3 linked regions of the Stegostoma tigrinum genome follow. The protein of the gene in region 1 interacts with the protein of each later gene in a biochemical or structural test. Links are inferred from orthologs where the notes say so. Each region holds a gene or a part of one and is shown on either strand. Other genes may lie near its edges. The genes, in order: ntrk2a, bdnf and tyrosine-protein phosphatase non-receptor type 1-like.

Region 1 (7,837 bases):
CATTTAAAAAGCAAAACAGAGGCTCTGCTAATAAAATTGATGAAGCCTGATCATCAGCTTCTTTTTTAGAGATAATGAATAGTCTTACTTCCTCGATTTGTTAAAATTAAGCACGGATATGAGAGGTATTGATTAGCTTAAACATCTAACATATAGCAACAGTCCCAGTCATACTGATTTTACTAAAATGAACATTTATTATGAGGGTAAGACAATGGATTATCTGAACAACTTTGTCTGAATGATATTGTATTATTAAAGAACTTAGACCTTAAGACCATAAGATGTAAGAGCTGAATTAGCCAATTGGCCCATCAACTCTGCTTCACTATTCAGTCATGGCTGGTATGTTTCTCAACCCCATTCTTCCTCCTTCTCCCTGTGACCCTTGACTTTAGGCCCTTACTAACCAAGAACCTATCTATCTCTTTTTTTACATACACACAGTGACTTGGCCTCCACAATCTTCTGTGGCAATGGGTTCAATGGATTCATTGCCCACTGGCTGAAGGAATTCCTCCTCATCTCAGTTCTAAATGGTTGTCCCTTCACTCTGACATTGTGCCCTTGGGTCCTAGACTCTCCTACTATTGGAAAATCTTCTCTAGCCCACTTTATTTAGGCATTCTGCAGTATTCTGCAACTTTGAATGATTCCCCCCCTCATTCTTCTACATTCCATCAAGCACAGACCTCAACTGCTCCACATATGACAAGACCTTAATCCTCACGATCATTCTTGCATACCTCTTCTGGATCCCCTCCTTAGATACGGGGCCTAAAACTGCTCAAAATATTCCAAATGCAGTCTGACTAGAATCTTATGCAGCCTCAGCATTACATCTCTGCTCTTGTATTCTTACACTCACCTTCCTAACTACCAACTGAACTGGCATGTTAACCTTAAGAGAATCCTGAACTAGAACTGCTAAGTTCCTTTGTGTTTTAGATTTCTGAAGACTTTTCCCATCTAGAAAATGATCCATGCCTTTATTCTTTCTGCCTCAGGGACAGCACGGTGGCTCGCTGCTGCCTAATAGTGCTGGGGGCATTTTGAAGTAGTAGCATTATCTCTGGATTGTTAATCCAGAGAGCCCTGGGTAATGTTTTGGGGACCTAGGATTGAATCCTGCTATGCATATAGTGACATTTTAATTGAATAAAAATCTAGAATTAAGATTCTAATGATGATAACGAATACATCATTAATTGTCAAAAAGGCCCATCTGATTCACTAATGTCCTTTAGGGAGGGAAGCTGTCACTCTTACCTTGTCTGAACTACATGGTACTCCAGCCCGCAGAATGTGATTGGCTCTCATCTGCCTTCTGGGAATTTAGGAAGTGGTTACAAATGCTGGTCTAGTCAGCAAAACCCTTCTAACTTTAATTCCAGCCTTGGGTAACAGTTTGTGTGCAGTTTGCATGTTTTCCTCATCTCTGCATGGACTTCAGTCAGGTGCTCCAGTTTTCTCCCACAGTCCAAAAATGTGCAGGCTAAGTGGATTAGCCGCAGTCAATGTAAGGTTTTGGTGATAAGGTAAGGGGTTGGGTCTGGGTGGGATGCTCTTCAGAGGGTCATTGCAGACTCAATAGCCAAATGACCTCATTCTGCACTGTAAGGCATCTGTTAAGTACTTTTTCTATGAAGTTCCTAGGAAAGTGCATAATGTACCACAAAAAAATTACCCACAATATATACCACACGCCACTTCTTTGCTCATTGGCCTAGTCTGTCTAAGTCTTTTGGAAGACTCCCTGCATCCTCAACACTATCTGCCCATCTGCCTATTTCTGCATCATCTTCAACCTTAGCAATGATGCCATCAGTTCCTTTGACCAGATCATTAATGTATTATGTGAATAGTGGTGGTCCCAACATGACCCTTTGGAACTCCACTACTCGCATGCTGTCATGTTGAAAAAGATCCGTGTATACCTGCTCTCTCCCATCTGCCAGTCAGCCAATCCTTTATCCATGTCAATACCATGCCCTAACACGGTTCTTATTTCGCAGTTTCCTTTGTGACTGCTTGTCAAAAGCTTTCTGGAAATTCAAATCGATGACATCCACTCATTCTCCTTTGCCTAACTTTTCTGTTATCTCCTAAAAGGATTCCAATAGACTTGTCCGGCATGATCTCCCCTTGATGGAGCCATGCTGACTGAGCCCTATTTTACCCTGCACACTTCCAAGTATTCTGCAATCTCATCCTCATTAATGGACTAAAATCTTACCAATGATCGAGGTTAGGCTAACTGGCCTATAATTTCCCGTCTTCTGCCTCCCTTGACAACACCAACAATGAATTCACCAACGCGAGGTACAATTCCCATTCTGGCTGGATTAGACTCGAGGCCAGTCACCTCACTCTATTTAAAGTAAAATGTTATGATGCAACTTAACAAGGAGAACATTTGAATTGTTCAGTATAGAAATAACAAAGGGATGGATGAGGTCTCCGTCATAGAATACCTGACGTAGGTCAGAGTTGAACAATTTCCTACGAATTTATCCATTTCCCTTAAAGTGTTGTGTGTTTGTTCCTAATATCTCAGCCATACATCTGCAGCCCCAAAAATGTCAGCCTTACCCATTCTCCTAATCAAAATTGTCGTTAAACAATTGGATTATTTATTCACTTGGTGACTTCTTGGAAGTTTTTGACATTGTAAGATTCCTTTGCCTGATGTTAACAGGTCAAAACCTGTGACCTGACCAACCTTGTAGATCTGACGGCTTGTTTCATTTTTGCCTCTTTTCCGATGTAGGCTTGAATCGCAGGTGATACCTAGATCCAAACATCTTAAGATCGTTTCCTGTTAGAATTTAAATTGTTGCTTGCACCTTCCAAATACATATTGAAATGTGGATGTCGTCTAGAACTCTTGGAATCATTTTTATGTGTTAATTTATGTTTAATGATCATTCGTTTGTGATTTAGAAATTGAGCAATTCACTTGCTTCCGTCTTTTTTTAAACAATATTTCGTAGGCACCTGCTTAAATGTGGTTTGCAGCTTGGATTGTCGCTTAAAGAAATTGTCCCCGGGAAGAAGGCACAGCGAGCAAGATGTGCCTTACCGCAGACGGTCGGGGCTGCAGTGGGGGTTATTTTTGGAAGCTGCAGTTGCTCTATTGTCCGGGAGGTGTCAGACCAGCTCGTCAGACGGCGGAGCTCGTAAAGAGCTTGTTTGTTGGATTGCTGCAAAGTGCGAAATCACTGCGGGAAAATTCACTGGGAGTTGCGCGTGTGTGAGAGACGGACGTGGGTGCGTAGTGAGATTGACAGAGACAACTAGAGAGAACGGGAGGGCAGAGATGGGCAACACTTTTGACAAAATTATTAACCATTCAGTTATGAACATTGTTGAGTTTTATGCGCGGACAACTGTGTTTCCTGTATGAGAAGATCAGTGTTAAAGAGCTGTTGACTTATACAAGGACGTGAGCTTGTAATTTTTGTATTATCTCAACGGACTTGGAGGAAAAGAATAACTGTTTGCAATAACCCAAACGCCTTTCAGACATGTTCTTTTATTAGGCACCATTTAAAAGTCAATGAGCTAAATGTAGGAATTCGATCACGTCTGTATGTGAATTCATGGTATCATTCCTGACCAAGGCTGTAATTCAATATCTGCGGGTAATATTAGCAGTTTTAGCAATTCGACTGGCTGTTATCTACGTCGAACATTGTGATGTCCGTGTCAGCCTCAATTGCTGCGGTACCAAAATTAACACATGCACGGAAATGTACACATGCACATATAAACACTTAGATACACACACCCATACATTGGTGTACACACAAATACAAACACACATCCACAGATCTACAGCCATAGATACAACCACGCATACACACAATATATACACACTCTTTCAGATATACATATCCCCACACAGATATACTTACGTACGTATTTACATCCACACGCTTGGACACAGACCCACATTCAGATATACACCCGCCCCCCCCCCCCCCCCGCAGATACATATATAGATATATACACCCAGATATAAACACGCACATCAGCTCACAGTAATATCTCCATGCAAACAAATATGGATAAACATCCCCATACAAGTGTGCACGGCTACAAATCTACACTCACGCATATACATATAAAATGCACATACACAGATATGCATCTTTGAAGGGCAGTGCAATTCAAATCCTTCAAAACCTTTGAAATCAAATTTCTTCACCGGACTTGCACCGTCTGGGACGTGATTGTCCTTAAGATTAGATCAGCGACAGTCCAACAAACAGCAGCACTGGGAGATTTGACGTGAACTGCTTGTTCCAGGCGAATTCTAACGGTGGGGGGGGGGGGGGGGGGAGTCAATTTTCCGGATTACACATTCCCCACAAACACTGCAGCTAGATTGTTTATTAGATGGTGTTTGTGAGAAGAGTCGGGAGAACAGATTATTCAGTCTGTTGATTTTTGTGGCTCAGGGTACTGCGCTGGGAGTAGCGACCTGGTTTGGAGCAGGAGATCCGAGTCGCTGGTTGCAGTTGCCCTGGTGGGCAGTACATTTCCAACCTCGTGGCCAACGACCATCACATTTCACTGCTTCTCGGCTTCTTTACTTTCTTCCCTCTTTTATAGTTTTCTTTTTTTGTGGGGGGGGGGGTTCAAAAAACCTCTCCTTCATCCCTTTTCGTGCGTCAGCCGCACGTCATGTACAGCAGCTTCCCGAATTGGATGTAAAAAAATCGAATAGTTTACTGAGGTGGTGGTGGTTTGGGAAGGGGGAGGGAGAGTGGGGGCGGAGAGGATTAAAAAATCCCGGACAGAGCCCCCGGCAGCATCAGGCAGTTTGGGGGGTGGGGGGTGGGGGGACGTTGGTGGCAGGGACTGACTGATAGAAAGAGAGAGAGAGAGAGAGAGAGTGACCACTGCGGCAAGAAGAATGCCCCACAGCCAAGGGAGCACACACTCACTCCAGCTCTCCCGGAACCTCACATAGTGGATGCGGTTCCACAGCGCAGCGGCTCCCTCTGTACAGCTAACAACACTTCAGATCGCCCCCTCCAAGAACTGACAGATAGAGAAAGCTCCTTCACAGGGATTTACAAGCGGGAGACATCGTTCTAAAGACCTTGTTTATCTGTATATGCTGCAGATTGCTGTCAGTGAGACCGCACTGCTCTCTATTGGCAATCTACGGATTATTCCAGGTTTACACCAAATACAAAACCACACTCTGCTGGCGGGATCTGCGCCTGTTTTTTTTATTCTACGGGGGAGTCGCTCCCGATCTGGAGTGTGGAGCAGAGACGAGCTGACGATGGCCTCCTCATCTCCGAGGTGTTGCTGCGCTAGCCTCAGGAAGACTGTGGCCAGTCTGCTGTTAGCGCTGCTCGGCACGGTGCTGGCCTTTAGCAGCTTGGTTCTCGCCTGTCCTGCTTTTTGCAGATGTAGCAGTTCCAGGATCACCTGCACTGACCCCGGCATCGTGGCTTTCCCGGTGCTGCCGTCCGCAGCAGAGATGGAGAACATCACAGAAATGTGAGTACCGACTGGGCAGGCCGGCCAGTAGCAATGAATATGCGAAATCTCAGTTACTTGTTGTCAGTAGAGCTGTTTTGAAATTAGCCGACTAACACCATCAGTGTAATCCATCTCTCACTGTGTTTATTACCGAGCTGAAGATGAACCGTTATAGCAATATAACGACCCATCCGAGATAGCTCCTAATTGCACTCTCTCCAAGTCCTGTTTTTAAATCGAAAAAAAACAGATACCAATAGCGAGAATCCCTTTAGGAATTTCATTCACAAACCGAATCCAACTTCTCCTTAGCGAAAACACGGTTCCGATTTATTTTAAAACCAAGTGTTTGTCGCCTCGAGCAGTAAAGGCTCCCCCCCACAAACTCAATTGAACCTGCAAATATTCCAGCTCAAAAGAGAGATTGGTTGTGGACAGGCTTTCAATCATTTTCACACCGAGCTCACGTTAGACTCGACTTAAGTTAATTTAGTTAACGTAATAGTATATTTCTTCGCTGGTGTCTAAAAGAAGACCATTTCATATTAGAACGTAAAGAATCACGATGCGTCTCGATAGCAATGCTGCTTATTTGGAAATGAATGTTTGAAGGTTGGAGATTACCGTCCGCCCACACCAGCCAGCTTTCAAAACACATTTTAGGTTTTATGGTTACTGAGGCTACATAGAATAAGTTTTGTTACTCTCCACATACTCTTTCTAGCCCCGCCATCTCCCTATCCTGAGGATCTTTCTTACTGTTAGGGGACCAAAGTACTTGTTGCACTGAAACAAAAAAACAGCTTCCAATCGTGTTGATTCTGCCTTCCGTTTCTGTTTGCCTCTTTCTGAATTATTTCATGATTCAAATGGTATCAACTACAGGGAGATCTCCGAAGCAGTCATCATTTCCCTTCCAGCGATAACAGTTTGGTTTATTTTGCTTTCCAAGTATTCAGCAAGTTTCCGGTGGAAGGAGGAGACGTTGTTGTTTGTTTACATTCTGATTGAAATTGAAAACTTTTCAAACTGACCTCGGAATCTGCGAAAAGGAATGATATCCTCTTACCCTCCTGAGAGAACGATGGCTTTAACTGGCGCCGCTTTCATCCCGGAATCGAATCCGCGCGTTCTCTTCTCACGGAGCTGACAGACCTCCGCTCGATCAAAGTTTCCCCAACACCATCTCCTTCAATTCCCCTCCCTCCACAACGCAACCTCTCTGCCTCTCCTCCCTACATATCCTCTCCTAACCCTCTCTCCCTCCAGACCTTCTCCCTCCATTCCCATTCTCTCCACTCTACACCCCCTCTACGCCTACCACCATCTCCTCACCCTCCCTCCATACACCCCTCCCTCCATAATCTGTCCCTTCATCAGCCTCCCTCTTCCCTCCACCCCCTCCAAAATCCAACTCCAATCTCTCGATCTTCTTTCCCTCCGGCCTCTTTCTCTCCAGCCTTTTTCGTTACTCTCTCTCGACACTTTCCCCCTCTCCACTCTGATCTCCACACTTTATCCGGGTCATAGTCTCTATCACCGCACTCTGTCCCATTCTATACTTCTTCACTTGGTCCATCGACACTCCAGCAATCCACAGTCCTTCCCTTCTCTCTTCCTTCGCACATTTTACATCCATTTTCTCTTTTCGCACTCTTCCGCCCTTCACATTCTATCCATTTACTCTATCTTCCTCCACTTCCTGCTATTCCATTCTCTGATTCAACGTCCTTTACTTCTACACTTAATTTATTTGCATACTGTTTCACTAAGTTCACCTAGTCCTCGGCACTCACGCCCTCCTTGCTGTCTCTCCACACTTTGACTTATATTTTCTCCATCTTCTCTCCCTCCATGTTCTCCCACCACCACCCCCATTTCTACTGTTTCCAACGCATTCTGTCCCTCCAGCCTCTCTCCATCCACAACGTTCCTCCTCAACTCCGCTCCTCTACACTCTCCCCCACCATCCCGACAAGTTTCAGTTTGAGCCCAAGTAGCACAGATCTAACTCAGGGTCAGCTGCGGCTTACAGCCAGGACTGTTCATGAATATTGCAGCGTTGCCGCCCCGGATACTGTATGCAAACAGGTTCCTTTCGATGTCTTCTTGTTGTACAAAATAAATGATTTAAAACATATCTGGTGAACATTTCTATTCAGTGAATAAGCAGGAATGATCGCAGGTGCCTTGGTGATTTTAATCTGTCATTTTAATATATTTTAGTGATGAGAAATCCTTTAAAACCCATCTCTCAAGACGGTGTCGGGCCCAACAAGATTCGCGTTCAGCCGATTGTGGTCACTGGGTTTCAGAACTCCGAAGCAAATCCCTT
Region 2 (8,058 bases), on another chromosome or scaffold:
TAATTTTTAGCCATAAGGAGATTGTCACAAGTTAGGCAGTGTGCTCTTTTGATGGTTCTCATTGGTAAGACAGCATGAGTCTTGCAGGCCAGGACATTGAGAAGTCCAAACTCTTACTTATTCAATTGATATCATCCAGAATTATGGTGTAAGTGTTACACCAATCTGTTGAGGATGGAAATGTCTCCCAAAGATTTGTGCCCCTGTTTGTTATTGAGTGAATACATTTCTGCTTCCTGCAAATGGTTTGGGTGGACTTGACGAAAAAAAATTGCACTCAATTGTAATATTACGTTTAAATGGCAACTGATGCTCATAGCCAAGACTCATCCACGTGTAAAAGATACATGGATAGTAATGTCACCATATGACTAATCCAGAGGCACAAGTTAATGGTCTGGGGACATTGACTTGAAACCCATTACAGCAGCTGAATTCAGTTCATAAATCTGGAATTGAAAGCTATTCTCATTAATAGTGTGTGTGTAATGGTCATTGGTTCTTGTAAAAACTCATTTGATACACTCCTGTCCTTCAGGGAGGGAAATCTGCCATTGTGTGGCTTATGGCGTGACTTCAGAACCACATTAATACAGTTTACCCTTAACGTCCCAATGAAATGGTCTAGCAAGCCACACAGTTCAAGGTCATTAAGGATGAGCAACAAATGCTGGCCATCAGTGACACCCACATCCTGTGAAAGGCTTAAGGGGGAAAAGTCAGTTAGATGAAGCCTGGAGCCTGTGGGACTATGGGAACCATGCTGTGAGGAGGGAGGGTATGTGGCTCAGAATATATGACAAAGCAAGTCATGATCTACCTGATCAGATGGGCATAAAAGAACTCTTTGTTCTATTTGAAAAGGAAGGATGAAGACATCCTGGACAACATTTGACTTCAACCTATACCAGCCAATGATCCAGCCAATTGGCGACCTGTAACAGCCAAGGAGAGAAGCCATTTTTACTTTTTTTGTGATTTGTTGTGCAGAGTCATGTCATCGCAACTGTAACTACATTTCAAAAGAAATTGACAATGCAGTACAACAAAACTTTCTCAGGATGTAAACGGTGGGATATAAATGCAGGATTCCAGGCGGACCTCTCGGAGATCTGTGTTCTGGGGGATAGACAGGTTGTCCTTTATCTGCTATAGATCACAGCTCATCCACAGAGGGAAAAGGTTGAATTTCTACACCTTGTGGAGAGAGCCTGGAGAGTCAATGAAATCCGTGTGTAACCACACAGTCACTGGTCAAATGTAGGCTGGCTAATTGTGGCTGCAGCTCTCTCTGGAGAACATTCCTACTCAACCTCCTGGGAAATCTTTGTGAAAATGTGTTTTGCGGCGTCAAGCCTCAACAAAGGTAATGAGCTAGTGCCTCATCTCCGACCTAGCAAGGCAATAGAGCCTTGTAATACCATGACGGTATGGTACCATTTCAGACAACGCCCCCTCTGGGTATTTGCAAGATCGACTGTTGTCTATGTTAGGTGGAACAGATGTTTAGATTAGCAGGAACGTTCTTTATAGACGTTTTCCATATCAACCTGCTCAGAGATATTATGACATACCTCTGGAGTAGTTGGGCCTCCTGGCTTAGAGGTAAGGACGCTACCACTGCTCCACAAGAGCCGTCAGAACGCACCATCCTGTAAGTGTTAACTGGAGACCTGCTTGTCACCTTTCAGATGTGATCTGCAAAGAGAAGTGTACTACAAATACATAAACCTGAGCCAATCCTTCTGGAACGTTCAGCAGCCTGACGAGAACTGGGTCTCGGTCCTTTCTTGAATCGAGGCTGAGTCTGGTGGTCAGCTGGGCTGCAAGGCAGGTTGAGAATGAAGCCAGGAGTGTGAGGTTCCGAAGCAACGTTTTAACCAGAGATTGCAACATTGTGCACGAGTGTCATTTGTTGAATCTGGCTTCTGTGGGAAAGTTTCCCACTAATGTGGGTTCCGGGCAAAGCAAACAAAAAAAATAAAATCTGTGACCAAGCTTCAGTAATAGCTCACAACTGTGCGTTTACTCGGGCTGCAAGTTGAAATTTCGCGGATACTGACCAACTTGTATTTTCCTGTTCAGGTAGAACATTATAACTAGTTCCTTCATGGGTCACTGCTGCCTGTACGCTGCAAGTCACGTTGCCCGGTTGGGGAGACTACTTTAACTCAGTGCCAGAAATATTTGCATGTGAAGGCTTTACCTCACAACTGTCACCTACACAACATCAACATCAACGACCCCTCTGCCCAGAACGTCCAGAGCACCTTTTCTCAGACAGCCTTTCTCAGAAAATAATAAGAAAAACTCAACGCCATTTATTGTTATACTTCCATGTTATACTTTATAAATTGAGAGTTAACCTTTGAGTTGGGAGCCTATTCTAGAGCTCAAGTACAGATCGAGCTGAAAAGTAGTCACTATGTCGAACAGCTAACCTTTCACTGAAAGCACTGGAATAATTCAGTACGCTTCCCTGTGTCTTATTCTGAATTTGCTTTCTCCTCTGTCTGGCCCTCTGTCTGCAGCGGTTGCCCTTTGCGTCTCTATCTATTAAGGAACGCATTTGAATCCCAATCCGGGGTGCCGTACATCAGATATACAGTTGCACCTTCGCAGGTACTTTAATTATCGACATTATGTGCTACCTACATCTGTTTTGCTTCTATGTTTGTCTGCATTTTGTAGTCCATTCCACAGTCGTCTATTCCTTGAGAGTGCGTTCAATCACGCAACAAGTGCATGCATGAGCATGCTGCTAAATTGTGTTTAAAAGTGCTTGGCTGTTTATAACTTGTCTGTTTCAAAGTTATCATCTGAACTCTGCGCAGCTTCTAGTGCTGAGTGTAAGTGAAGCACGGACATGTGTAAGAAGTGATGGTATGGACCATTTTGTAAAGCATCCAAGCCATCCACAGACCAACACGTCTATATGGTTTATTACTCATATTTAAATGCACGTCATCTTGGATGTAGGGTATCTGTCACTTTCGGTTGTTATTTGGTTCTTGGGCTTGACTCTTGCAGTAAACCTCCAAGGCTAGGTGCATAAGCTGAGGAGCCACGCGTTTGACAACCCGCAACAAAAGCTGTGCGTGTGTACGGTAAGTTGGAATGATATCCACTTTCTGTGTCCGCGCGCAACTGAAAGGCATTGCGGTTGAAGAAGACACACCAGAGGATTTGAGCTTTATTTTTTTCACTCGGTTTGGCAAGTTTAACAGGTTGTGGCCCTGTTGTGGTCATCGATAATACAATTTGCATTGTTGATGATGAACTGTTTCAGGTAGGGGGAAAGAATAAAAGTGTTTTCTCTTTGCAAAAGAGCGATCAACATTACGGTGCGTCTGGAAGAGATGATGATTTCAATAGCTTGGTGCAGCAGACATTGCTAACTTACAGCTTCGGGTAGCCACACTTAACCAGACGGAAACGCTAGCACTTCCCCAGAAATTTTGTGCGTGAGACAGAGGTTTCGAAAGACAAAAGTGCTCCCTTACCTGTTCTACGCAAATCCCTTCGATCCTGTGCTGAACTCGATAGTTCTCGATAGTTAAGATAACCACGTGTGCAAGAAGTTAAGTTAAACTACTTTTCGAGACAGGGGCAAAAAAGTTCTGTTTTTTTAAAAAACAAAATCAGACGCGTTAACTTAACCCAGCATACTGTCCTCACTGTGTCTGAACTGAGTGTTCTGAAAAGACCAGTCATATAGGATCTGATAGCCCGCTATTTCCAAAAGCAATTATTTCCTTAATTCATTAGAATCACGTAAGCCCCAAAACGTCTCCCTGAGCGAATGTGTTGCGTAAATGTAGAAGCTTAAATCACCTCTGCGTACGTGTGCCTTGCAGTCACTAAGGTGTCGGGGATTTCAGCGGCGGATATTGCAAAGAGTTATTACATTCATAACTCACAAGTAGTGGGCGATTGACTGAGCAAGCAGAAGTTCACATGATGACTTCAAACAAGGCGCATTACCTTCCAGCATCTACTGGAGAGACGGGATTTTAATCCTCTTCGCTTTCCTGGGCGGTTACTAACGATGGTAAGCGGATTGTCAGGGAGGGGTGGAGGGGTTGGGGAGGGGGCGGTTTTGGTCAGTAACTGCGATCGCCCTTATTTTTTTTAATAACGCCACGTTACCATTGGAAGGTGAGAGAGCATTTCTCACACCACTGGGGGATATCGCCCGCACACACACACGCATACGCCCTCCACTCCCCCCCCCCCCCAGTTAAGTTAAACTCATTCCTTTGGAAATCTACAATTGATTGGAGATTTGGTGGGCGATCAGAGGCAGATATCGACAGTGGTGCAGTGACACTGTCTCTACCTCTGGACCAGAAGGTTTGAGGGCTCAAGTCCCGCCGGGAGGTGTGTCTTGTCATCTTTTGGTAATTGAAAATATAAAGAGGGCAGCAAGAACTGGATGGTAACGCCGGGTGTTGGGTTTCTGGGGGTGCAGTTCAGTACAGTATGGTGACTTACCCCGCAAGGAGCTGATCATCAGATCTTACTGGGGTTCGGGCGCGGTGGAGGGGGGGGGGGAGCAGACTGACTGGCAAAGCCATATTCACGTGACACGGCGTGGGTAAGTCGCATCTGATACAAATATGAAGTCGCAAGTGCTGAAAATAGAAGTGTTATGGAGTATTTGGGGAGGAGGGTAGCGGGTCGGAGGAAGGGAACCATTAGCTGCTTCTGGGGTCCTGACGCGAGTCTCAGGTGTGTCTCTCAGCACCCGGGACAGCCTGAGCTGTCTCGGCCTCGGGGATAAGAAAAATCAACTCTATCCAAAGATATCGCGTCACCAGACGGTGATTGCCACGAAGGAGAGGGTTAGATCTATAAAAAAAATCTTTCAAAGCTGACAGCGTTACTACGAGACCAGCTGAGGCGCAGAGCTGATGGTTGGAATTTTTTTTAACAGCTTGGGCGAAGTTTATTACGGTACAAGCAGAGTGTGAGGAAAATATCCTGCGAACAGGCAAGGTCACTGTATTGTAACTTTGTGAAATGGAAGGGTTGATAAGGATGGTTTAATGTGATGCCGTTTGCACATAGCAGGGTAAGTGAACAGCATCTGCCGTGTTGTTTTCTCGCCCAATCTGGCTAGCAGTAAGGATCTTCCCTGTGTATCCCGGACAGGGGCCACTTGCATTTTGAGCTTACTTTGGTTGAGGGAGATCAGTGATGTTGCAGAGATTGGAAGGTTCTCTTGTCAAGTCCCACACACACACACACACGCACACGCACACACACACACTTAGCCTGCTTCATTCTGAGAGTTCATCGCATTTTCTGAGCCAGGCGAAGTGTTTTTGTTCCAATATTCTTCCTGTGCCCGGCTTGCGAGAGAGAACTGTAGGTGCAGGAGAAGGTTAGGTTCAAAGTTGCGTGTCAGTGAGCAAGGGCTGTTTAGCGAGCGGGCGCTCCAGGCAGGGATAGAGAAAGGGACTCTAACTCCAGGAGGTCTGGTGCTCTGGCTATTTGGGAAGGACTACCCCGCAGAAGCTGCATACTACCGCACACCTACACTTCACAACACAAGAGACTCGCAGCAGCAGACGGCGCTGTTTTCAGCAAAAACCCAAATCCCCACAACACCCTCCCCCATCAAAACAAAAATCCTTGCAGTTGCCCTGACAGTGATCAATGCAGGTAAGGGTCTAAGGCAGGGCTCCCGATTGGAGAGAACTCGGTATCAGCCAAAGCTAAATGCAGTTGCAGAATGTTAGGGACCGCTCGATACCCTCGGTGTTGAACGTAACTTATTATTTCACACAAACACACACACACACATACACACTAAACATGTTTCAGACTGGAGCTTGGTTTGGGTGTGGAAGGGATTTGCTCAACTATACCCAGCGTTACAATAATGTGAAGCTGCAGATCACCGTAGCCGACGGGGGCAGAAGGATAATTTAATAAACAGTAACCGATTGTCTTTAGGAAGTGGTCTCCGGCCCCTTCCTGATGTGCTGTGCCTCAAGAGAGGTGACCTTTAGTGTGAATGTTGATTTTGATTGTTCGCTGGGGTGGGCGGGTTGGGTGCGACTGGTCACTAGACATAACTGTATATACAGACCGCGCGCTGCTGAAGTTAAGAGACCAACTCTCCTTGTCTTTCTTTTGTCATTTCTGGTTTCTGGGCTGACTGTATTCCAGAATGCAGCGTGTGAAGTTTGCCTCAGGAGCTAGACTCATTCCACAGGGATTGACGGTGTGGAGAGGGGATGGGCTATTGGAAATCGGGGGCATTTTGTGATATCGCCCTTACTATCAGGGTACAGGCGGTGAGAGTGTAGACCCTTTTCCCGATAGAAACCCAAACATCCAATGTACTAGATTTAACCAGCTAATTCCCCACCCCCCCACCCGAACACCCCGGTCCTACACAAAACAAAACAGCAAGGGAAATGTGAGGCTGGATGAACACAGCAGGCCAAGCAGCATCTCAGGAGGATGCTGCTTGGCCTGCTGTGTTCATCCAGCCTCACATTTTATTATCTTGGAATTCTCCAGCATCTGCAGTTCCCATTATCTCTCACAGCAAGGGAAAGGTGATTTCCATCTTAGACCTTAAGAAACGGGAAGCGGAGCAGGCCGCTCGGCCCGGTGAGCGTGCTCCCGCTCCTACCCCGTGTGCTAACGCTCCCACATTAAGCCAGACAGGGGGAACTGGTCCTTTCTTTTTCATTCAGGACGAGGAAAAGTATTTTCCCTTCGCCGGTTGCCAGTGAGACAGCAGAGACGAGGCTTTCATTGGATGCCGGTTGCCATGGCAACGTGAGGAGCAGCCTTGCCACAGGCTCTGTGGTTCTCTCCCTCGGTCCCTGTGACGGTGATGCCCGCAGTTTGGATTCGCTCTGAGCAGGTCCCCACCTAAGCGTGTTGCTGTCATCAGCGCTCCACTTCAGCCCGCTGTGTCTACTGTTACACCCAGGTCCCCTGGCACCAGATCGTAAAGGAAACCAACAAAAAAAAAGTAACTCCCCGTCAAAACAGGGTTTCTTCCAGCTTTGGGCACCAGCTGCGCTACCGCAACTAAACAGGTTCCTTCCCGTGGCATTGAAAGCGGAACAGTTCTGAAAAAAAAGTGAGAGCGAAGGAATCGCCTCTCTCCATCTTAGCATCTCTGAGTGTTTGCTGCATGTGAGGGTGGATTTTGATTCAGGCTGTTATTGTCCGGGGTCGACCTGGATACGATGGTCGTAGAAGAATTCTGAATTGTGTATAGAACGGGATTTGCTCAGGTCGTCTGTAAACCCAATGGTTTGTTGACAGAGTGTACACTGAGGAGCCGGGCTCGCACCAGGAAAAGCAGGAAGGGCTTTTAAACCCTGGAGCTTGTCAAGAGTAGTGCAGTATTGTTTCTCTAGGAGCCCGTCAAAGAAATAAGAAGAACCTCACTGTTGAAGAGTTATCGTTATTGAGTTTATCCACGGGAGCGTATGTAGGCGTGAGTCCCGATCTGATGATTTGCAGGTTCCACTGGGAATTTTCCGCGATGTTAAAAGTCACAGTGCTAGAATTGCAATGAGTCCGTTTTAATGAGGTCTCGATTCAAAACGGCCCACTTAGCCTTTAGGTTTGGTGTCAACATCTTTCAGAGAGAAGTGCAAATTCATAACGAATACATAATTATGTCAAGTGCAGCTAATTACACGTTAAAGCCTGGACAGAGAGAAACTGTGGAATAGCAGGCAGGCGCGTGGGTTTTAAAACTCCTATAAATATTCATACATTTTACTAAGGGCGATACTTTTTTCTCTAACTCCACCCCCCACCCCGTGCTGCAATGTAAACTTTCTGGGCAATAATTAATCCCAAATGTGGGCGTATGACATCTAAGAAGCAGTGCCAATTAGTGGGTCAGTTCCAAACACAGTTCAAGAGCACCCCTCACCGGCCTGGTCACGATGTCCACCTACTCACAGATTCTAATATTCTTTTGAATCGAATTTTCTTTTAAAAAATGATCTTTGCTGGAATTGCCCGAAATTCTCACAACGAATGTGATTAGTCCGAGTCTGACCTCACGTGACA
Region 3 (7,259 bases), on another chromosome or scaffold:
CTGGATGAACACAGCAGGCCAAGCAGCATCTCAGGAGCACAAAAGCTGACGTTTCAGGCCTAGACCCTTCATCAGAGAGGGGGATGGGGAGAGGGTTCTGGAATAAATAGGGAGATAGGGGGAGGCGGACCAAAGATGGAAAGAAGATAGGTGGAGAGAAGAGTATAGGTGGAGAGGTAGGGAGGGGATAGGTCGGTCCAGGGAAGCCGGACAGGTACCGCCCCCACCACAACCGCCCCAAGAGGATCCCCCTCATTCTCACACAGCACCCCACCAACCTCCGGATACAACGCATCATCCTCCAACACTTCTGCCATCTACAATCCGACCCCACCACCCAAGACATTTTTCCATCCCCACCCTTGTCTGCCTTCGGGAGACACCACTCTCTCCGTGACTCCCTTGTCCGCTCCACACTCCCCTCCAACCCCACCACACCCGGCACCTTCCCCTGCGACCGCAGGAAGTGCTACACTTGCCCCCACACCTCCTCCCTCACCCCCATCCCAGGCCCCAAGATGGCTTTCCACATTAAGCAGAGGTTCACCTGCACATCTGCCAATGTGGTATACTGTATCCATTGTACTCGGTGTAGCTTCCTCTACATCGGGGAAATCAAGCGGAGGCTTTGGTGGTATCTGGGATGTTGTTTGTAAAGTATGATTCCATGAGTATGTCAGGCTATTGCTTGACTGGTGTATGAGACAGCTTGCTCATTTCTGGGATTAAGAAGGACTTTGCAGAGTTGACAGGGACATTTCTGCTATTGCCTTTTCCAGTGTCTAGGTCAATGCCAGGTGGTCCTTTCAGTTTCAATTCTTTGTTGAGACTTCATGATGACTGATACAACTGAGTATTTCAGAGGGTCAACCACATTGCTATGGCTCTAGAGTCACGTGTAAGTCAGACCAGATGAGGATGGCAGATTTCCTTCCCTGAAGGGTATTAGACATTAGTTATTCAGATAGGTGCTTCCAACAATTAACAATGGCTTTAGTGATCATCAGAAGATTAACTCCAAATACTTCAAAAACTCCAAATCTGTGGTAGGATTCGAATCTGAGCCCCCAAACTTCAGTTAATTTCTAGATTAATAATCTCGCAATATTATCACTTGATCATCATCTAAAGGCTTGGTAAAAGTATCTTTATCTGGTTGGCAAGGCATAACTAGTGGGGTGGGGGGGGCACAGGATTCAGTGCTTGGGGCCCAACTACTCTCAATCAATATCAACAATTTGGAAGCAGGGATAGAAAATACTATGACCAAACATATAGATGACACTGAAATAGGTGATAAAGTAAGTTCCAATGAGGAAGCTTCCAATGACCCTTCGTCACTGGACCCAAAACGTTAACGAAAACTTCAGTAGGTCTGGAAGCATCTGTGAAGGGTAAAATCAGAGTTAACGCTTTAGGTCCAGTGAGGAAGGGTCATTGGAAGCTTCCTCATTGGAACTTACTTTATCACCTATTTCAGTGTCATCTATACATTTGGTCATAGTATTTTCTATCCCTCCTTCCAAATTGTTGACATTGATTGTGATTAGTTGGGCCCCAAGCACTGAATCCTGTGTCCCCCCACCCCACTAGTTATGCCTTGCCAACCAGATAGATACTCTTACCAAGCCTTTGGATGGTGACCAAGTCATCATTTCTGTTTTTGCCAGTGGAGACTTTGCCTAGTTGCAATGAGGCGAGGCATTGAGCAGAAGGGTTTGAGATTCCTTAATATTTTGAATGTCTCTTTCAAGAAATGAAGTAAGGTGTCACCGTTTTGGCATTTTAAATATTAACTTCATGCACACTGATGATACTCGAGAGCAGGAAGTGCCCTTCCAACCAAATGTTGGATATCTTAGGTTACATATTCCAGAATTAAGGAATGAACATATTTTGCTTTAATTTCTGTAAAATCCTTAGAGTGTGGTCTGAAAGACAAAAAAACTTTACACTAAAAATCTGATTAACTGACCAAAAACTTACAGATCAAACATATTAATATGATTTTCTTAGCATTGAAAAATCCAAAGAATTTCAGAGGTCAGTTGCCTTTGTTTCTGGAATGGTCAGCAACTAAAATGGTGAGATCAAAGACACTTAACTGTCCATTTGTATTTTTATCATGATCTATACTTAGGAAATAATTGGATCAAAGTTTTCTTGATGACAGGACAGTTTCTATTTAAAATGCTGTTGTAGGCCAATCTGCACAGCTGGGGAAATGGATAAATTGAAGTTCATCCAGAGATTTCTTAGCCTGGATAGAGAGTTAATATCTCAACTTTAACATCTGTATTACAGAAGTCATTTTGTGGCCCACATTAACTACAAAAATGTTATTAGGTTCACTGGTAAAAATCAAGATGGTCAATGAACAAATCACCAAAGTATGGTATTACTTTGATTGCACTTTTATTCATAAGTCTTGCAGACTATAAATTACAAAATTCAGATTATGTGCTAAATGGCTGCATCATCAGTAATTACTGTATTTTATTTCCATACATTTAAAGTTGAATACAATCATTTGTTAATGCGATACTTTTCAATCTTTGTAGCAAGAAACCGTGGAGGTTCTCTCTGTAACCTCTAATGCAATGATCATGGTTAAGAGATAATTAGTTGTTCAATTAGAATAGTACACTTCTCACAAACCACATCATGTTGAGTTTTCAGTTTCATGGGATGGGCAATTTGTCCCTCTGCCATAGAATGGGGTTGGGTGAAATATTGAATTGTGACTGATTAAGAAAAGATTAGAGATGTTGAATAATATACTAAAATGAGCTGGAAATTAGAACAATATAGTAAGATATATCCAGAAACTTTCAGGGCGTCAACTTTGAGTTGCAAGTTTTTTTTTTAAATTGGTTTTTCAATCTCTTACAATCAATGATAACAATCTCATGATGAATATATTTATGAAGCTTTCATGATTTGTCTAGTTTCCTAAGAAGAACCACCGTTTAGACGAGAGGACCATTTGAATTCAATGGTCTTGTCACAATTTTGTGGCCTTTTCTCTCAATTTGTACCTCTCCAGAGATAAGAGCAACTTAAAAAAAATCAGAAATTGAAACTGAAATAGGTCAAGCACCAACTGTACAGAGAAACATAAGTGATGTTTCAGGTCTAACATTTATGATCACCTTTCCTCGACAAAGAGAAAAATCTGAAACGAAAAAGAAATAAAGTGAGGATACAGAGTTTATGGCCAGAAATTTTTAACTTCATACTGAATGCAGAAGATAGTGCCCAAGCAACCAATAAGCATGTTGTTTCTTAGGCTTACGTTAAGAAATAACTGATTTGGCCTTTCACTGAAACGCTGCAGCAGGTAAGTGATCTTGGGTAACTTTCTGAAAGAAACACAACGCGGGGATCAGTCAAAATTGTTGATTTATTCATGTCTTCAACAGGACTTTCCAAACAGTCCCGCTACCTGGCAAATTGTTTCATAATTCTTTTAAAACTAAATGTTTTTAACCCTGAAAGACTTTCAAATCCTTCCTGTCAGCCTGGAGGACACTTACGTCATGGATAAAGTAGAGATTAATGAACTTGATCATATCATTAGCAACGTTCAATGATACAAGAACATCACTTTGCCATTATTGTGGTTACTGTTTCTTAGCTCAGGCAATTCTGTTAGATCCACCTACCGGCATACAGACTTTACTTTGCCATGAGCTCAGGTTTGGTTTGGATTTAGACACAGTTATGCTCTAACGAAGCCCCGAACACATTATCGGCTGGACTTTCTTTCCAGAATCTTCAAGCTGGCCCGCCACCAGGGCCCGTGGGATACAATCGGAGATTGAAGAACTACATCTCCCAGTAGGCATCGCGAAGCCCTCCGTGGATGCGGTATAAACATCGAGGAGCAAAGCATCCCGGATGTATGGAGCTGCACCCAATGTAAACAATTCCCCGTTTTTATGAAGCAATATCTGACTTTTCGGACTGAGCAATGTATTTCGGGCCGCTAGTCCGCACAGTCCTCTGGGATTTGGTAGGAAACGTCATTTCCTGGACAGTTTACTACAATTCCCATTAGGCAACACGCAAAGCCGTCCTGCGTTCCGTATTCTGATTGGTAGGGGCTGGTGCCAGTCATGGGTTGATGGTGTGTGTTTCCGGTGTGTGGTCGAAGCCCTCCTGCTGCGAGGGAGTTGAGATGAAGTGGTAGGAGCGGAGCGCGAAGGGGAATTTACAGCGTTAGCGTGAGGCCCAGAGTGGAGAGGAGACAGGCACAGCGCGCTTGCAGTCATGGAGCAGGAGTTCGCGGAGATCGATAAACAGGGCAACTGGGCGATGCTTTACCAGGTGAGGGTAGTACGAGTGTCCGGGATCGGGAGGGCGAGTGAGCGAGGCTCGGGAGCTTCCACCCCGCAGCCCGGGGGTTCGAGTTACATGCTGCCGGGAAGGAAGTGTAGACCGGTGGGTGCAATACCTGGGTCTGTATATTGGCAGCTTATGTGTCTGTCTTGATTCTGTGTGTTAATCATGTCCCGTCGGTGTGGGAACCGCTCGTGGATTGTGGCGGGGTTTGTCTAATTAGTTAGTTCAGTCAGCAACCACTCCAACAAATTATTGTGCAAACACTATAACCAGAAACTGTCAGTCTACTGTCTTGGTAATAAAGTGACTCACACCGACTTTTGAGAGCAGCATGGGCAAATGGTCTTTGTAGTTGCCGAGGGTGGTTTTTTCCTATCTGGAGGGTGAATTTGCTTTTTTAAAGCATCCGGTAACATTCATGAAATACATTGTTCCCTGATTTCGTTTGCCAACTTCAGTTATTAAATCATATCCTGGTTTCATTTTACAACAGTAACTAATTAGCGGTAATTATTGGTGGTTATAATAAGGTTAATTTTTGAATTAATTTTGACCAAGCCTAATAATGATCGTTCCCCATATCTCCCACGCTGTCTTGACGCTCTTTTGCCTGAGCATGAGGATGTCTCTTCGTGAAAATACTGTTGCAACTATGAAACGATGATCTGCAAATTCTGAGTCTCTTTCTGTAGGATGTAAAAATGAACTTGGTTGCATTTATTTAGCATGATAGGTTTTTTCACTTTCCTAAACTTGGGTGGACAAGTAAGTAACTTACAAATGTTTTGTCCTAGTGAAGTATGCAAGGCCTCAGATCGCTTATGTGCATTCCTTTGTACTAACCAGACCTAAAAAATCTACAAAATTATGAAATAAAAACTGAAAGAACTGTGGATGCTGGAAATCAAAAACAAAACAGAAATTGCAGGAAAAGCTCAACAGGCTTGGCAGCATCTAGAGAGAAATGAGCACTAACGTTTTGGGTCCATTGACCCTTCCTCAGAACTGATAGCTAGGAAAAAGTTGGTTTTCATGTAGAACGTATGGTGGGAGAGGGGCTAAGAGTAAATAGTAGGTGGGGAGAGAGCCCAAGGAGAGAGAAGAACAATTGGACAGGCAAAGGAGTGAATAATGAATATCCTAAGAGATATAGATATTAATCGGGACTATTTGTAATAGTAGACCATGTGATAACAAGGCCTGATGTGTGAGGGTTGGGGTAAGGACATGGGAGAAGGTGCCTCACGCTCTAAAATTGATCTTGATATTGAGCCCAGAAAGCTGTAGAGTTCCCAAGTGGAGAATGAGGTAACGTACTTCCAGCTTATGTTGAGCTTTGCTTCAACAAGCCTGAGACCAAGATGTTGGCCAGGTAACAAGGTGGTACAGGTGGTATATTGAAATGGCAGCCAACCAGAAGCTCAAGGTCTTTTTTTTGTGGACAGCTCGTAAGTGTTCTCTGAAGCAATCACCCAGTCAACCCTTTGTTTCCCCAAATTAGAGAAGACCACATTGTGAGCGGTGAATGTAGTAGACTAGATTAAGTGAAATGTGGATAAAGCACTGCTTCACCTGGAAGGTATATTTGGGTCCTTGGATACTGAGGAGGGAGGAAATAAATGGGCAGATGTTACACCTTCTCAGGTTGCTGGGGCAGGTGCCATGGGGCTGTGGGGAAGTGTTTGGCATGAAGGGGGAGTGGACGAGTGTGTCCCAGAAGGAATGGTCTTTGCAGGAGGCTGAAATGGAGGGGATTGGAATATGTCTGCTGTTGGCATCCCACTGGAGGTGGCACAAATGGATATAGATGTTGTTGGGATAGTAGGTGGGTGAATGGGGTGACCCTAATCACAGTTGTGGTAGGAAAGAGAAGGGTGAGGGCTGACGTTTGGGAGATAGGTCAAACCTGGCAGAGGGCCCTGTCAGCTACCGTGCTGGGGAATCCTCGGTTGAGGAAGAACATGGCTATCCCCTTGTTGAATTTGACATGTTCAGAACAGATGTGATGGAGGAACTGGGAGAATGGAATAGTCTTTATAGGATGCAGGGTGTATAGTCAAAGTAACTGTGTGGGTTGGTCGGTTTATCATAGATGTTGACAGCCAATTCCCCAAAAGTAGAAATAGTCTGAGATGTGGTAATAGGAACTGCCAGTGCTGCAGAATCTGAGATAACAAGGTGTAGAGCTGGATGAACACAGCAGGCTAAGCAGCATCACAGGACAAGGTGTAGAGCTGGTGTCCTGCTCCTCTGCTGCTTGGCCTGCTACGTTCATCCGCCACTACGCTTTGTTATCTCATAGTCTGAGATGGTCCGGGAGAAGGTGAGGGCTGGGTGGAAATTGGAAGCAAAATTGATAAACTATTCCAATTCTGGATGAAAGAGGGGAGCAGCACCAATGGTATCATCAATATTCTAGAGAAAGAATTGTGGTTGGGGGCTGGGATTTGACTGGAACCAGGAATGTTCCACATACCTTACAAAGAAACAGGCATACCCAGGGCCCATGAGGGTACCTATGGCAACTCTTCTGACCTGAAAAAAGTAAGAGGAGTTTGAGAAGTTGTGCAGAGTGAAGATGGTGGAGGAGGGTGGTGGTGAATGGGGACAGTTCATCCCTTTTTTCCAGAAAGAAGTGGAGAATCTGGTGACCACCCTGATGGGGAATGGACATATAAAGGATTGCATCTCCATGGTAGAGAGGAGCCCACAAACTAGAAATTTTGAAACTAATGTAAAATATCAGAGAAATTGTAGATTTAAGTGAGAAGGGAATGAACAAGGGGAGAAAAAAATTGAATCGAGTTAGGAAGAGCTGAGTTCTGCAGGGCAGAAGCAGGCAGAAGCAGTGGTCTGCCTGGGCAGTCCTGTTTGTAGATTTTAAGCAATATAATGAAGTTTGGGATTGGTTGGAC

The links.
Region 2: the proteins of ntrk2a (region 1) and bdnf form a complex in vitro, tested with the Homo sapiens proteins (3 studies listed by BioGRID). The link is inferred for Stegostoma tigrinum from reciprocal best matches to the Homo sapiens genes NTRK2 and BDNF.
Region 3: the proteins of ntrk2a (region 1) and tyrosine-protein phosphatase non-receptor type 1-like form a complex in vitro, tested with the Homo sapiens proteins (2 studies listed by BioGRID, with this or other methods). The link is inferred for Stegostoma tigrinum from reciprocal best matches to the Homo sapiens genes NTRK2 and PTPN1.

What each region holds. Positions count from the first base shown.
Region 1 is NC_081356.1:59,861,558-59,869,394, reverse strand, and holds the start of ntrk2a (neurotrophic tyrosine kinase, receptor, type 2a), read left to right. Parts: upstream 1-4,836; 5' UTR 4,837-5,125; coding exon 5,126-5,520; intron 5,521-7,837. UniProt on the Homo sapiens protein: Receptor tyrosine kinase involved in the development and the maturation of the central and the peripheral nervous systems through regulation of neuron survival, proliferation, migration, differentiation, and synapse formation and plasticity.
Region 2 is NC_081370.1:53,221,558-53,229,615, reverse strand, and holds the start of bdnf (brain-derived neurotrophic factor), read left to right. Parts: upstream 1-4,961; 5' UTR 4,962-5,053; coding exon 5,054-5,074; intron 5,075-6,851; exon of another isoform or gene 6,852-6,997; intron 6,998-7,011; exon of another isoform or gene 7,012-7,108; intron 7,109-8,058. UniProt on the Homo sapiens protein: Important signaling molecule that activates signaling cascades downstream of NTRK2. During development, promotes the survival and differentiation of selected neuronal populations of the peripheral and central nervous systems.
Region 3 is NC_081372.1:40,246,954-40,254,212, forward strand, and holds the start of tyrosine-protein phosphatase non-receptor type 1-like, read left to right. Parts: upstream 1-4,156; 5' UTR 4,157-4,272; coding exon 4,273-4,329; intron 4,330-7,259. UniProt on the Homo sapiens protein: Tyrosine-protein phosphatase which acts as a regulator of endoplasmic reticulum unfolded protein response. Mediates dephosphorylation of EIF2AK3/PERK; inactivating the protein kinase activity of EIF2AK3/PERK.